Mytilus edulis: one gene and its partner. The protein of the gene in region 2 interacts with the protein of the main gene of each other region in a biochemical or structural test. Links are inferred from orthologs where the notes say so. Each region holds a gene or a part of one and is shown on either strand. Other genes may lie near its edges.

Evidence for each region. The genes of interacting proteins can lie anywhere in the genome.
Region 1: the proteins of serine/threonine-protein kinase Chk1-like (region 2) and DNA replication licensing factor mcm2-like form a complex in vitro, tested with the Homo sapiens proteins (2 studies listed by BioGRID, with this or other methods). The link is inferred for Mytilus edulis from reciprocal best matches to the Homo sapiens genes CHEK1 and MCM2.

Annotation. Positions count from the first base shown.
Region 1 is NC_092344.1:14,624,629-14,631,989, forward strand, and holds the start of DNA replication licensing factor mcm2-like, read left to right. Parts: upstream 1-4,200; 5' UTR 4,201-4,308; coding exon 4,309-4,314; intron 4,315-5,548; coding exon 5,549-5,748; intron 5,749-7,361. UniProt on the Homo sapiens protein: Acts as a component of the MCM2-7 complex (MCM complex) which is the replicative helicase essential for 'once per cell cycle' DNA replication initiation and elongation in eukaryotic cells.
Region 2 is NC_092348.1:28,491,760-28,499,593, forward strand, and holds the start of serine/threonine-protein kinase Chk1-like, read right to left. Parts: upstream 3,098-7,834; 5' UTR 2,941-3,097; intron 745-2,940; 5' UTR 719-744; coding exon 648-718; intron 169-647; coding exon 69-168; intron 1-68. Other genes in the region: triadin-like, read left to right, coding at 6,843-6,996. UniProt on the Homo sapiens protein: Serine/threonine-protein kinase which is required for checkpoint-mediated cell cycle arrest and activation of DNA repair in response to the presence of DNA damage or unreplicated DNA.

The sequences.
Region 1 (7,361 bases), on a different chromosome or scaffold from region 2:
CCCGATTTTGTTTAAGAAATACAACTGCAATTTGTCTTATAACAAAATTCAAAGACATATATACTTAACTTGTTGAAGTAAGTAAAGATAAGAAGATGTGATATGAATGCCAATGAGACAACTCTCCACAAGAAACTAAAAAACGTAGAGGGCTAGCAACTATATGTCACCGTGTAGTCTTCCACAAAGAAAAACCAATCTCGCATAGCAAGCTATAAAAGTTTTTCAAAGGAAAATGTTAAAGAGTTCAAACGCAAAAACTAAAGGCCGGATTTATCTACAAAACAATAAACGAGAAGCAAATATAAGAAACACACATCAACACAAAACCACTGAATTACAGGCTCCGGAATTGGGACTGTCACATACATAGTGTGTCAAGGTTAACATGTTTGCATACGTGCCAACCCTCTCATAACCAGGGACAGTGGTGTAACAGCACAATATGTAAGAACAAACTATATAGATCACTTGAGAAGGGCTAAAAACTCTTAAAAGCGATACACAGAACAAATCAAGAGACTAAAACTAAAAAAATATAAATCTGAGACTACTCGCAGTATATCTGAAAACTAGTTCACAGTAAATAAGAAATAATAAGAAAATCATGTACCTAAGTATCTAGGTTGTGTCTAAAACTAGGCAATTATCAATCAGTACACGTCCAACTTTAAATGGATTTAGTGTAAAGACGTCATTTACAGTCGAGAAAACATTACCTTCTGACAAAACAAAGGTATTGGTATATGCTACTATGAAATTATAAAGATGTAAAGCGCATGCAGGAATCTGATAAGATATGCTGTTTCGCATATATCTTTTTGTCACTTACAAAGCTTTAACGTTTGAGATATTTTCTGTAAATCTTTTCATTTGACTATTGGACTTATAATGAGTACGGTTTATGCTGTTGTGAACCATTGCATATTATATTTCTTGTATAAAGGGGAGATTAAATAGTTTGCTAATTTGTAGTTTGAAGCAGAACTTATATGTTTTTATATTTTTTTGCATTAAAATTATGAACAAATGCATTCTGGACATTGTACAAGAAAAGGCCCTTCTGTATACTGTTCATGACGTTGATTTATGATAGGACACACGATATAAGTGTAGGATGACATAAACTTATATGAGTACTTTGTGTTTCCTTTCGGTTAACTGCAAGTATTATTTGATACGGTATTTCTTATTTTTTGGGGTATATAATTATTGGTTTTTATCTTTTATGCATCTGTGTATCATTAGGGAGAAAGGAATTCGAGTTCTAAATAAAAAAAAAATCGCCATAATTCACAATCCTGAAACTGTCCTGAGTAGCTGTCTTTTGTTTTATTCTTAACATATTGTATAACAAGCTGTCGTGTGTTGAAGATAATATTGACAACTAACATCAAGGTTTTTTTAATCTTTTTTATCTTGTGCCTGGTTTTGTTGAGTTTGTGACGTATTTATTGATTTAAAATGTCTTCAGTAAGTTAAATCTTAGGGAAATTGACATTATCGAATTTATAGTTTACATATAAATGGAACATTAAGTGTGTACACTATCTTATATCAAAGATAACTTATGACCACAAATGTCGAAAATTCTACTGGAAGAAGTTTCTGGGCAGTGGCTATTTTACCGGCTCCGGCAAAATAGCGATTTGTATAGAGTTTTGCAATTTTGCCGGTCTCAATTAAGATTAAAATAGAATTATAGAAAGTAATAATATAAAGAATACAGAAACATACACTTTAATAAGAAATCTCAGAAATCTCTATACAACTATATCTTCTTTAAACATTTATACAAAACGTTTGATATTCTTTACTTTAATAAGAAGTCTCTAAAACATGTCTTATTTTTTAAAATGTATACAAGTAACTTTTTTTCTTAAATAGGAAGCCTAAAAAATATTTCTTTTTAAAAAATATATAATAGACACAAGCAAAGCATACGAACCCATATTAAAAAATCGACATTCTGATTAAAACTTTTAATAAAATTATCCAATTAGTTTTGAATCAAAAGTTTACACCCAACAAAATCAAACTGCTGTACGAGCGCTACAAAACCAGTGCCTTGCTTTTTGGTGAATTTCTTTTAATTCTGGCACCAGTAAGGTGCTGCCACTGCAGACATGAACTGAACATAACACTTGATTTTTTAATGTCTGCATCTCTTTTGCAAAAATTGCAGATATACACATTTCAGTATTCAACATTCATAGAATAAATATCTAGATTTCTATGAACATTATTTTTTTTTTGTCAATCTTATATTTTATTGCACCATAGACTAAAGATTATTTTTAAAGTTTTGTTTGGTTTTCATAAATTCTATATAGTCATCGTTTCACGTTTCAAAGTACTCCAAAAACCGGCTGTAGCTCTTCATATTATCAGTCAAAAATCAAGTTGATTGATAGCAAATTTATTGTTTTCCATTTTTTTTTTCAATCTTCAACAGAAATTAATGTATGTACATGTAATTTGAAGAGTGCAGTTCACAAAATTGAATGACTAGAAAGGCAACTGAGGTGAACAAAAAGGTTATTGACATCATCTAGCCGGCCACATATATCATTTGTGCATAAATAGTTTCTTAAAAAAAATGTTTCATATAGTCTTGATTAAAAATCTGAAATAAGACCGACAAAATACCAAAACTATACAAATCGTTATTTTGCCGGAGCTACGGCCAATGACAAAACCTACCAGAGACATGTTAAGTATATAATATGTCTCTACACTTGACTGAAAATTCCACCAAAACGAAAACATATTGAAAAGTTGTGTATAAAGGAGAAAGACACTATACTAGATTTTACAGTGTTATCACCATAAATTATAGTTATGGTACCAAGTATTGTATCTTAAAGACTTAAAATAATCTATTCCATAAATATGTCCCACCGTGCATTTTATATTGGCAGTGTCTGCGCGTACCCGCATGCGGGTACGAATAGTCAAATTGCCGTTCTAGGCTGCGCGTACCCACATCCGGTTTCTAGGCTGCGCGTACCCACATCCGGTTTTCTATTGAAATGCCATCGGTTCGGGAATGAAAAGTGAAATATATACGGAAATTATCGATAATGTGGGGATTTCGCGTAGAACGAGTGAAGAGTATGAAAAGTAATATTTTCAAATTGTATTTATTAAATAATGATACATAATAAACATTGCAAAATTAAATGCACAATGATGGAAAATGAAACTGTACAGTCCCTGTAAAAGAAAAACATGATAGAAATTAATACTATTATAAAATTTAAATGAAAATTTAAAGAATAAAATTTTAAATATTTAAAAATATACCCATATGATATTTTAAAATAATCTTTTAGTAAAATGTAAAACCGAAACTGAAATTTATATTAAAATATATAAAACATTTATGTATCCAATATGATTGTTTTGGCACAGATTTCAACCCAGCACATTTCAAATGTTGCCATTCTAAACAGCAATCACATGCCAACGAGTCCTGATCGTGCCCGTAGGTTTTTTTTTTACACTTTATACATATCCAGTCGCATGTTTCCCTTCTTTCAGTGATCTTAATTTTTAGTTGTAACCAAGCTTACGTTTTTAAAAGAAACACCAAGAATCAACCCCCCCCCCCCCCCCCCCCCCCCCCATGAATGCAGGAAAAATTTATTCTGTTGTACTTTAAATCTTCTTTAATTTTTGTGATCCGGGGTTCTTCTTGTCTCTGCGGCTGCTATAGACTCCGAATTTCTTTTATACAATTGTATGAAATTTAACGCCTGATAGTTCTGTACATTTTAAGAATATTTACTAACTGAGAAAAAACTGTTTACTTACCTATATATATATATATATGTGTATATTTATAAAAATTCTGAACAGTTTTAATCAATTTATTTACTAATTGCAACACATTCTGTATATTTTTCACGTTTCATTCCCGATCCGACGGCATTTTATTATAAAACCAGATGTGGGTACGCGCAGCCTAGAAAGGCAATTTGACTATTCGTACATGCGGGTACGCGCAGACACTGCCTTTTATATTATTTTTAAAGATCTTTATGATAAAACACTACATCTGGGACATGGAAAACTTTTTAACACTCAATTGGTTCCGTTAAATAATGCAAAGTTTATAACATATTCTTAAATTTTCATAAATATTCGTATGTGGTTTTGAAGAATACGATAATAGTATGATCTTTGATTGTTGCAAACGTACGTTGACGTTGGTAATAAGCTTTACCATTTTAAACTTCCTGTTCTGTGACCTATTGACCCTTTCCCGCGCTTAAGTTGCACATTGTGAAGAAAAAAAGGAAAACAATGGCAGTAAGTTTTGTTGCAATATAATCTATTCTACGACAATTATAATCATTTGAAGACATGATCTTTAAAGGCAGTTTTAAACTGTGCTCATGAAATTTCACAGTTTTAAAGCATCAACAACATAATCATTGTATAAAATTTAGTGAAAGTTTGTCTTCGGTGAGTCCTTCGTCGTAAAATTTTTCAAAAGGGTCCACAAAATTTATTCTGATTACATACAAACCATAGGCCTCCGCTATCTGTAGACATGAATTAAAACCAAGATATATACAAGTTCGTACATGTGTAAAACTATTACTACCTTACCTCTTCAGGGTTTGATATTGGCAGGGGCCCACTTGGCAATACACCTTAATGTCCTTAAATCTATTCCTTGCTGACTTGAGAATCTGTCCCGCTTGAACTAATGACGCCACATAACAATCACTTTTCCATTGTGGCGTCAGATATAATGTAAAATTATTGTATTATGAAGTCAAAATTTTACAGGAACCTTTGGGATCATCAGAAGTCCAGTAAAGGCGAACAAAAAGCGATAGGACTTTAATCATACATGTAAGGGCTGAGTATACCTGAAACGCTAGTGCCTACTTTAAAGTTTTAAGGGTATCACTTGAACAACTCAAGTTGCTATTCAGAACAACTCTATAAGTAACTCTCTCTATATGTATAGCTATTTTAAGGCCCTGACGAGGCATTAAACAAAAATCTGAATGGTTTGGTGTCATTCAAGGGTTTCTTGAGTTTAACCATAGATGAGTGAGGATTTGAACCGGGGTAAGAGGGGTTAACTTGAGAGGTTTTGACCATAATATTGGAGGCAAACATTTAAACTAAAACCAACCAGATACCATATCGGTTTTTTTTTCACGTATAAAATTTCAGGATTTTCATTGAAAAAGGTATAATAAATATTTTGGCGGTTATTATTTTAGTGGATTAAAACTTTAATCAATACCTTTGTATGTGCATTTATTAATCGGCAGAATTATTTTGGAGATTTTCTTTTATTGCGAAAACAAGCGAAAATTAATACCCCGCTAAAATAACTTACTTCACGTTAAGATAACTGGGGGAACTGGGGTGATGAAACATGTTTTCAGACTAAAAATTATTTTTTGTATATTGTAGTATTTTAAAGATTTTTACTGTAATAAACAAGAGAAAATCTGGAAATTTTTACTGTAACATGCAAGAGAAAATCTGGAAAGTTAATATGCATTTTTGTATATTTCAGGAAGAAACATCATCAGATCCATTTTCCACAGCCACAAGTCCTTCTAGGGGTTCTAGAGGGCGAAGGAGTAGTCGTGGGGACCCACTTACTTCCAGTCCTGGACGAGATTTACCTCCCTTTGAAGATGAGAGTGAAATGGATGCTGGAGTTGCTGAGGAAGAGGCAGATGGAGAAGAACTATTTGGAGATAACCTGGAACAGTAAATATTTCTCCTTAAAAATCTGAATGCAAAAAACATGACTAGACACAAATCTCAAAACCCTACCAAAATATAAGGATTGTGTCGCATCAGCCCTATCCAAAATTAGGGTGAACTCAGATAAACAGATACTAGAAAAGTATTATGCAGTTCCTGACTTGTTGACATAACACATTTGTTAAATGAGTTATTTATGATCCTCTTTCAGAAATACAGAGCATGGTGCCATTTAATTTCAAATATGACTGAATACATATATACATGTATTTGAAAGTGTTTATAATTTATGGTAAAATTGGTTCAGGTACATGTAGCACCCTTTACCTTTCAAACTTATCTAGAACTCTTCAAATTAACTCTTAAGGTACTGTGAAAGTACTTTAATTCGTGGGTATCAATTTTCGTGGTTTGAACAAAATTTACATATTCGTGGATTTCAGTTTTCCAAAAAAAGAAAAAAAAAATCAAAAAAAATTAAAGCCATTAGCAATGAAGGTTACAAATAGTCTGGATTGAGGAAATTGCAAAGGAAACATTGACCCGTGTAAATCGTTGTGATAACACTAACCCATGATAAAGTGATCAACAGATTAAAGACCATCAAAGGTGTTAATTAGGCCATAAACATGTCACCTAAAGAAAACAGTAATATAAACAAGTGCTATAAACGTATCTTGAATTGTCAAAAAATTCTTACCAAAATCAAGCTCAGCATGAAACTATTATTTCCCATATGTACTAGAGTAGATCTATGAGGATATAAAATGAACACTTATCATACTAGCATACCAATGCCGAAAATCTGACTTTCATCGATCAAAATTATTTTTATGATAATTAAAAGATGAAAAGTTGTACAGTTTAGGTTATTAAAGATAAAATGGGTATAATCCTGCATGCTGTTGTAATTCTCTGACTGCTATAAAAGTATTCACAGATTTGGCGTTATTTAATATATTAATATATTCTCTTAATCATATCAGTAGTCAAACCTACTGATAGGGATCTTTCCATGTCTTGATTTGGACAATGGTTGTTTTATTTCGTTGGACACTTAAATTCGAGGATAAAGTCATCCATGAAAACCATGAAAATTGGTACCCCACAAACAAAAGTACTTTCACAGTATAAAAGAGACTTTAAGTCACAGGTATGTTTCTTTCAATATTTCCCAACAAATATTTGAAATGAAACCTATAAGAAATTCATTTAATGTAAAAGTGTACCTTCTTCTAAGTTCACATAGGTTGCAATCATATTAAAGGTAAGCACCTATATGTAGGATGATGACATTGTTAGACGAATATTTTCAAACTTTAAGATTCTAGAACTCTGCATTTTTTTTCATCTAAAATTATTGGAAGAATTTCTTACTCCATTTTTTGCAATGCAAATGTTTTATACATATATTTCTCTCTCCATTGTGTAAGAAATGATTTGCAAAAACCCAGTTATTTGAGTCTTTGATCCATTTTTGGGATACAATTGCTTTCAAGCAATCTGTAGACTTTTACCATTGACTCAGGGCCATGCCCTCACGTCAACCGTTTTATTCTAAACATTAAGGAACATCTCTGATTCTTCAGATTGTCTTGCTTTAAATGGTAAAAACA
Region 2 (7,834 bases):
TTGTACTAAGTGTAAGCCCAATTTACTAATTGATATTCTAAAACAATATATTATCTAAGTATTATCACCTCTTTCCTGACATTTTCTGCTGCAGATGCTGTTTTCTCTAGGTTTATAATTTTAACAGCTACAGCTTCCTGGGTATCAGTATTTACTGCAAGTTTAACTCTGAAATTACAACTGCATGTATACTATGTTGACACAAAATAACTATAAGTTAAAGAGTTATAAGAGAGTCACAAATTGATATAACAAAAAGTCTGATTGATCAGTACCCAATCTTTGAGATAAATATGCATACAAATTACAATAGAAAAATGGGTTTCATTTTTTTACATAAATAAGGCCGTTAGTTTTCTTGTTTGAATTGTTTTACATTGTCTTATTGGGGCCTTTTATAGCTGACTATGCGGTATGGGCTTTGCTCATTGTTGAAGGCCGTACGGTGACCTATAGTTGTTAATGTCTGTGTCATTTTGGTCTTTTGTGGATAGTTGTCTCATTGGCAATCATACCACATCTTCTTTTTTATATTATCAATTTTTGTGTGCATTGTTCTGTGGATTTTTATTTTAAAAGATAGTATTGCATTGCTGTAAACATGGTAAGTGTCTACATGTTCTACAATTGTTAAGTTCTGTACATACTCTCCATATGCTCCCTCTCCGAGTGTCTGGACAAAGTCCCAACCTTCTACAAATGCTGTTACTTCTGTCATTGGATCATGACATTACATGTATCTGTCTACAAAGTAAAATGTTATTTGTTGTGTTACATACATGTGATAAAAGATATCATTTTGAAAATACTTTGTAAGAAACTCATACTAGACATGCTAGAAACATGACAGAGTGTACGTCTTAAGTCACTAGTTTTCTGAAAACCTGACAGTCCTTTCCAGTACTGACCACTATGGGCATGGCACTAAAAATCAGGTTGAGTAAAATGAGGTCGAAATTTTGTATATATTTGCAGGGTTTCAGCTAGGATTTTGAGGGCTTTAGTCACTTTTGCGCGTGAAAAATCAGCCTTATTTTTTTATAAAGCAAGGGATCTAGGATGTTTATCAAACTAGCTATACATATATGTCCAAGTCCTTCAAGGACTAGTCTAGGATCTTTGAAGACTTTAGGATTGCTAATGTAGGCAGTTATTGGCAATATTGAATGAATTGACTAATGTGATGCTAAGATATGAAGATAAGAACAGGGATCTGGTAATATGGTCAAAACTTCAATTCAGTTATTTTCAGGGCACACCCCTTACAAGAATCAACAAAAGTTGGGTGCCTCTATTTTTTAACCACTGCACAAATGAACTTCTAACGACTTTTCACTTCACAATCAATTATATCCTTGAAAATACGTTTTAATATCTATTTGGAATCAATTTCTTTATTATTGGATAGAAGGATCTGCATCTAAACTTAATGTGACGATTCTAATGACTGTAGACTGTAGAGCACGTTTACTTTCGATTTTTAAACGAAATGAAATGAAAACGGGAAGTGACAATTGAATAATAATTTCAGAATAAAACCGGATTCATCTACGAACTTTTACACATGCGCAATGCATAGAACAGGAAGCACCTGTTTGCAAGTGAAAATATTTACGTTTTGAATAAAGTTCATTCTTTTTAATCGAAGTTGTCGAAAGTTTTTGATGAATATTTATATAAAGTATGACGAAAATACGTTGAAATGACGAAACTACGACAAGCAAACTGCAAATTATGATCGTAAGGAAAATATTGAAATAAAAATAAAGTTGAAATGTCCGGGATGTTCAAATGACGAAAATACGACTGAACTGTGAGAAATGATTAAAATGAAATGCTGACTGACTGATTTAACTGAAATACATTATTATGATGGTCATTTATGAGGTTTTATAATGATAATTAAGGGATTAGTGACCCATCTGATTGGCGATAGGCGGATTACTTGTCATCACAACTTTTAACACCTTTGGTAAACGTTAATTACCTGAGGGTCATAAACTTGTCAGAAACATAAAGACAGGTAGAATTCAAGTAATTTGATGTGTAAATATTTTTACACTTTCCAAATTTAAGTGACGAAATTGATATGAAATATTTTCGTCATTTCGAAAACCTTTTCGTAAAATACGAAAGTGACGAGCGCTAGCAAAATCACTGATATTTGCTCAAAATTCGGATTTGTGGTCGTATTTTCCCTTTCCAAAGAAAAACAAAACTTTTTTGTTTTAAAAGATAAACACAAATTGCTTTTAGATAAATAATTTGTAATTTCTGTATTTTATAAGTACCCTAAAATTAAATTTATACATTTTTTATTCAGAAAATAACTCATATTTATCAAATGTTCATGAATGAAGAAAAAACATCATTTTTTTTAAGTTTAAAAAAATTGCACTATTTACATTTTCATGAAAATTGGCACACATAACCCCCTCGCATAATCAAACCAAATGGCATTTTAAAAAAGAGGGGTTCATAAACTTGTTTTCAAGTTAAATAAGTTTGAATGATAAAAATCTGTCAAAAACTGAATCTTTTCCCGATAAGTCATAGTTTGACGTCGTGAAAATAACAATTTACGTCAGCAACTTCATTACCTCCCCTGTAACTGTATCGTATGCCCTTAAATCTACATGTACATTTGTTTATCAATATTTGATATGGAACCATAAAATTGTTTTGCAAATTAGAAAATTAAGAGGTTAAAAACTCACAAGAGCATGTCCTTGTTTGTACAACTATGCCGACTCTTAATAAAGCTTATTTATTTATAAGATCTAATAACTGGCTAGTATTGAGGTGGTGTATGAGTGTCCCATGAATCATAATGATGTTTTATATCTGTCATAATCTGATGATAAATTGGTGTGGAAATATTAAGGTGTTTTGCTGTATGACTGCACTCAATTAACAAAGTCAGGTAAACTTTTATCTTACCATAAGTAAAACATAAGGTGTCAGATGTATATTAGAATTGCTTAGAATCAGAGTACACAGACCAAATCTCAAGTCACATTTTTCTGTTTTTGTTTTTACCGCCGATATGGATTCTAATTTTAGAACCATTTCTGGATTTTGATTCTTTTCCGGTTAAAGGAGGGTAATCTGAAAACCAAAATAATAAACATAAAAAGAGTGCAGGGAAGGGTTATAATGTTGACAGTTTTTTAAACAAACAAACAAACAAACAAACAAGTAAGGGCTTAAATAAGTTGGTGAAACCTTATTGATTTAAAAAATTGAAGGGTCAAGAAAGATATAAAAAAAAAGTTTTCCGTGTCCCTGGGACTATTATACTGATAAACAGGGACTTTCTATACTAATAGAATAGAAAGTCCCTGTACTATAATATAATAGTCTCAGCATGTCTTTAAAAAATAACTGCTACTTAAGGATGAACTTATGTGAAATTATTAAGATCAAGAATATAAAATTGATACTTTAAGTCATTGACTTTTTTAACTAACATAGCTGGAAAGTCCCTGTTTTGGTCCTGAGAAGATCATTAGTTCACTCAGTAAGGAACAAAACAAGCTAAAAATATTGATAGGTTATGTGACTGTTTCTCCAGATATTTTTTTCAATGGCGGGAAAAGACTGACTTGTTCTTTTATCATATATTTGCATTGGTATTATTTGGGTCTCAAATCAAAAGAAAAGAAATCTAGAAGTTGCTTAGATTTTGGTAAATGACCCTATGAGCTGTTGAATATAAAAAATAAAGAAGATGTGGTATGATCAGTGGCGGATCCAGGGGGTCCGGGGTTGGAACCCCCCCCCCCTTTTTTTTTAAATGTCCGGCATATCCAGAAATCAACGCCACTTTGCTTATTTGAATATTATACTAAAGAAATCGGATACGGGTCACGGAAATTACATTAAAATGATAGGGAATTTTGAAAAAAATGTCTGTTTTAATTTTAATTTAAGTGATAGACAGGTTGCCCGGGCAGAAAATGAATATACACAACAATATACACAATTTAAACGAAACATAATGACTGTTGTTGCAAAATTACAGGTTCCTGAGCTATTTTAAAAATCGAAGCGAGAGGCTTTTAACATTGCAGTGTAAAATACAGGCTAAAATGGCTGAAACGTCAAATTTGCAAACTTCGTGTTGAAAATTGGCTTACAAGGTCATTACAAAAACAGGTTGCCGGGGTGAAATATGAAACTTGAATTTCCAAAGAATAAGCAAGTCCAAACCTTGTATGTGTAGTCATTGAACTTTAGGTTCCCACGTAAAATTAAAATGTCACTATTTCAAGAAGAATAAACTCACGAAAGCACGAAAAATTCACTAAATTCGCGTTCATTGTTTTGATTTTGACCGCCTGACAACTTTACGGAAATATCAAAGTGATTGTAAATAAGGACTCTCTGACGGGCAACTTATAATATCCGTGTTTTAAAGATTTTAATGATATCAAGCCTATCAAGCCAGTCCAGTTCAAAGTACTATCACGTGGTACAATTCTCATTTACATATTATGAATATTAATTAGCAAAACCACTACTAATTTCTGGCTATGGATCCGCCACTGTATGATTGCCAATGAGACAACTCTCCACTAGAGACCAAAATGACACAGAATATAACAACTATAGGTCACTGTACGGCATTCAACAATGAGCAAAGCCCACACCGCATAGTTAGCTATAAAAGGCCACGAAATGACAATGTAAAACAATTCAAACGAGAAAACGAATGTCTGTCAAGAAGAATGTCTCTAATATCTATTCTTAATAAATCAGTATCACAAGGATTATAATCAAACGAAGATAATTTATATACTTTTGAAAAAAATTATAAATATTGGAAACTGGATAATACCCAGATGCGATCATGACAATTTCATTTCAAGGAATGTTATTTCACAATTTATAGACTTCTTTGTGATTTTATGATTTCCAGCTTCTGACATCGTCTCACATGCAACTAAGCTAATAGTACAAGTGTCTACACAACTGTTTTGATTTATAGTATCAATTTCTGATATGAGAGCTGTGTGCATTAGACATACGGATTGACTAGTGAGTGGTTTCGTATCAATCTAGTTCCTTACATATATACCAGCAGCTCACATATCAACAGGAAGTGATTCTCGGTTTCATCATTCGTCTTACACATGAAGGAGGTATTATACCATCTCGTATATAGCTTTGTTAAAACATCTCTTTCACTTTTTATGTGTACGTCCCAGTTGTCTTGTTGTAATTTTTGTATGACTGCTTCGGTTGATAGTAATCTAGATATTAGGTTAATTGCTTGGTAAGCTACATTGAAGGGAAGAGAAATTAAAGATTTGCTTGATTTTTCTCTTATATTGTTTTGACAGTGGTTTTAGATTTTTTAGTAATAAAATTTCTAAGACATAAAACATAATCGGAAATATAAATTCTTGTAGCATACATATTGCGGTCACTGGGTTTAGACTATTTTCCCCATGCAATCCTGCATACATTACAAAAGAGACATATTATATACAAGCTAAATGTATGTAATGATCTTCTGTTGGTTTTTTTTTTTAGATTTTCTTCTTAAAAGTACTTCTAGTTGAATCACTCATGAGTATCGCTTTGCATACCGAAGTGATATGTTTTGGTCACAATACTAGGCATTGGTTTTTTACCAAGTATCTTCCGCTAATGTTATTTGTAGTTGGTTTTAACTGGTAAACATAACACTTTTTTCTGGTTGGATCAGATATCCTTCGCATTGGCTGTAGTCATCCCAGTATGCCATACTTGTAAGGATGTGTACGTTAAATGGGTTATTTCCCACTATTGTTAAGTGTGACTGTCATCTATACAGGTGGGGCACAGCAACTTATCGAATCGATCTTTCAATGAAGTTTAAAGTCTACAAAGTTGGTTTACATAAACATTCAATTTGTATAAATCAGCACTTATACTTCCATTGGTCTTAATATTGCTCAGTCATGATCGAAAAATTGTAAATGATGTTTAAGATCGGGGCTATTTCACTGGTTAGTTCTATCAGTACAATTGGTTTGATGTTGTCTGGTCCAGCAGCCTTGTGTGTTTTTAGATTTTTTATTTGTTTTCTACAACATTTATGATTTGAATTTTTCTTGGAGAACAGTTTGGTCATGATTTTTGATATTTTACTTGTTATTAATGATTTAGTTACATTTGTTCGCTCACTTTTCTAAGTGTTTGATATAGGTCTAGAATCATCTTTTTGTTGCTGAACGAATGTCCTTAATTTCTTTTGGAGTTCTTATTCTTCAATATAAAAGGGGGTGGTGTATGGCACTAAGCGCAAACAGATTTGCATATTCTATCAATCAAATATTTTTTCTCACCATATTTAACCGACATAAACACTAAAAGGAATGGAGAAAATCTAGATTCAAAATATTTTTTTGTCATCTGTTTGATCAAAATTTTTTATTTCTTCTTTTAATTTGGGATCAAAACACTAACACTGATTTATTAGAATCCCCCTTTTTTTAGTTGAATAGACGTAACATATTTTGACCGACCACGCAAGACCCTCATAGGTAGTCAATGTCGTTAAAAACCCCCTCATCGACTAACATTTACGTTCTTGAAATCAGAGACATATAATACAATGTATTATATGTCTCTGTTGAAATTAATAACAAAAAAAACGTATAAATTTGTTAGAATTAACATTTTATTGGTTTTCAGACAGACCTGAAGCAACTAATTCCGTGTTGTCCGAGTTGAGTTGAAATTTAGAATGTACATTGTTATGACGACAGGCGCCAAACTATACACACATTTCTCCACTGCCAACTAGAGCAATAGATTGCTGGTGATTGTTCAGTCAGATTTACAAGAAAAACATGGCAGTTCCATTTTCAAACACAAAACTTCGCGTTCCGAAAGGATTTCAAAATGTTTTAGAAGGGCTTGCACGTGAAGTTTTGAGAAATCAACCAGATAACATCTATGAATTTGGTGCAAAATACTTCGAACAGATGCTGGCTGTTCGAGATGGTAAGATTTCTTGATGAAAACCTTGTTTTTTCCATTTTATAAAGATTTAAAAGATTTAACTAACAACTATTTGAATGCCTTCTACAAATTTAGGTATAACCAATGCCAATGTAAATTACTGTTCCTATTAAAACAACAAAAAACATTTGAAATGGAACAATTGTGAATCTATAATCTACTACGGTTACTGGAGCTGGTCCTATATAGGACAGAACTACTACAAGACAAGACAATGGCAATGGTGAATACATAAAGTCATAATAGTTATATAGTACCCTGAATACACAAGAACTGGTTAAATCCAGAAAACTGTTTGGTCTCACGCTATCAGGCAACTGGGTATCAGGAGTTGACTACAAAAAAAACTTATGACTAAGATTGGTCTTAAGTCAAGAACAAATCAGTATACTTCATGTACTTACGATAAATCTTAGTCGTAAGTTTTTTTTTTATGAAATTGACTCCAGGTCTGTCTGCGCCTAATACACCTTCGCACCTCACACGTTCTCACCTTACACGTTCATACCCAGTTTTTATCCAAATTCTAGTTGAATAAATTATAAGATATTTTTTAAACATTGTTAAATGTATATACCCAAAAAAGTATTTTCCTGAATAAAAATTGGGGAATTAATACATAAAACCAGAGACATACATGACATATACACATACAGTGGAGTCCCCGGTGTCAGCGCGGCCCGTGATATCGTGCATTAGCTGATTTTGTCATATCAACACAGTAACACAAACAAAATCGTTCTTGTTATTGTTTTAGCCTTTCGAAGGGATGAAAAAGAATAAAATTGATAAGTTCAAGAGTTAATTAAGGGAGCTACCA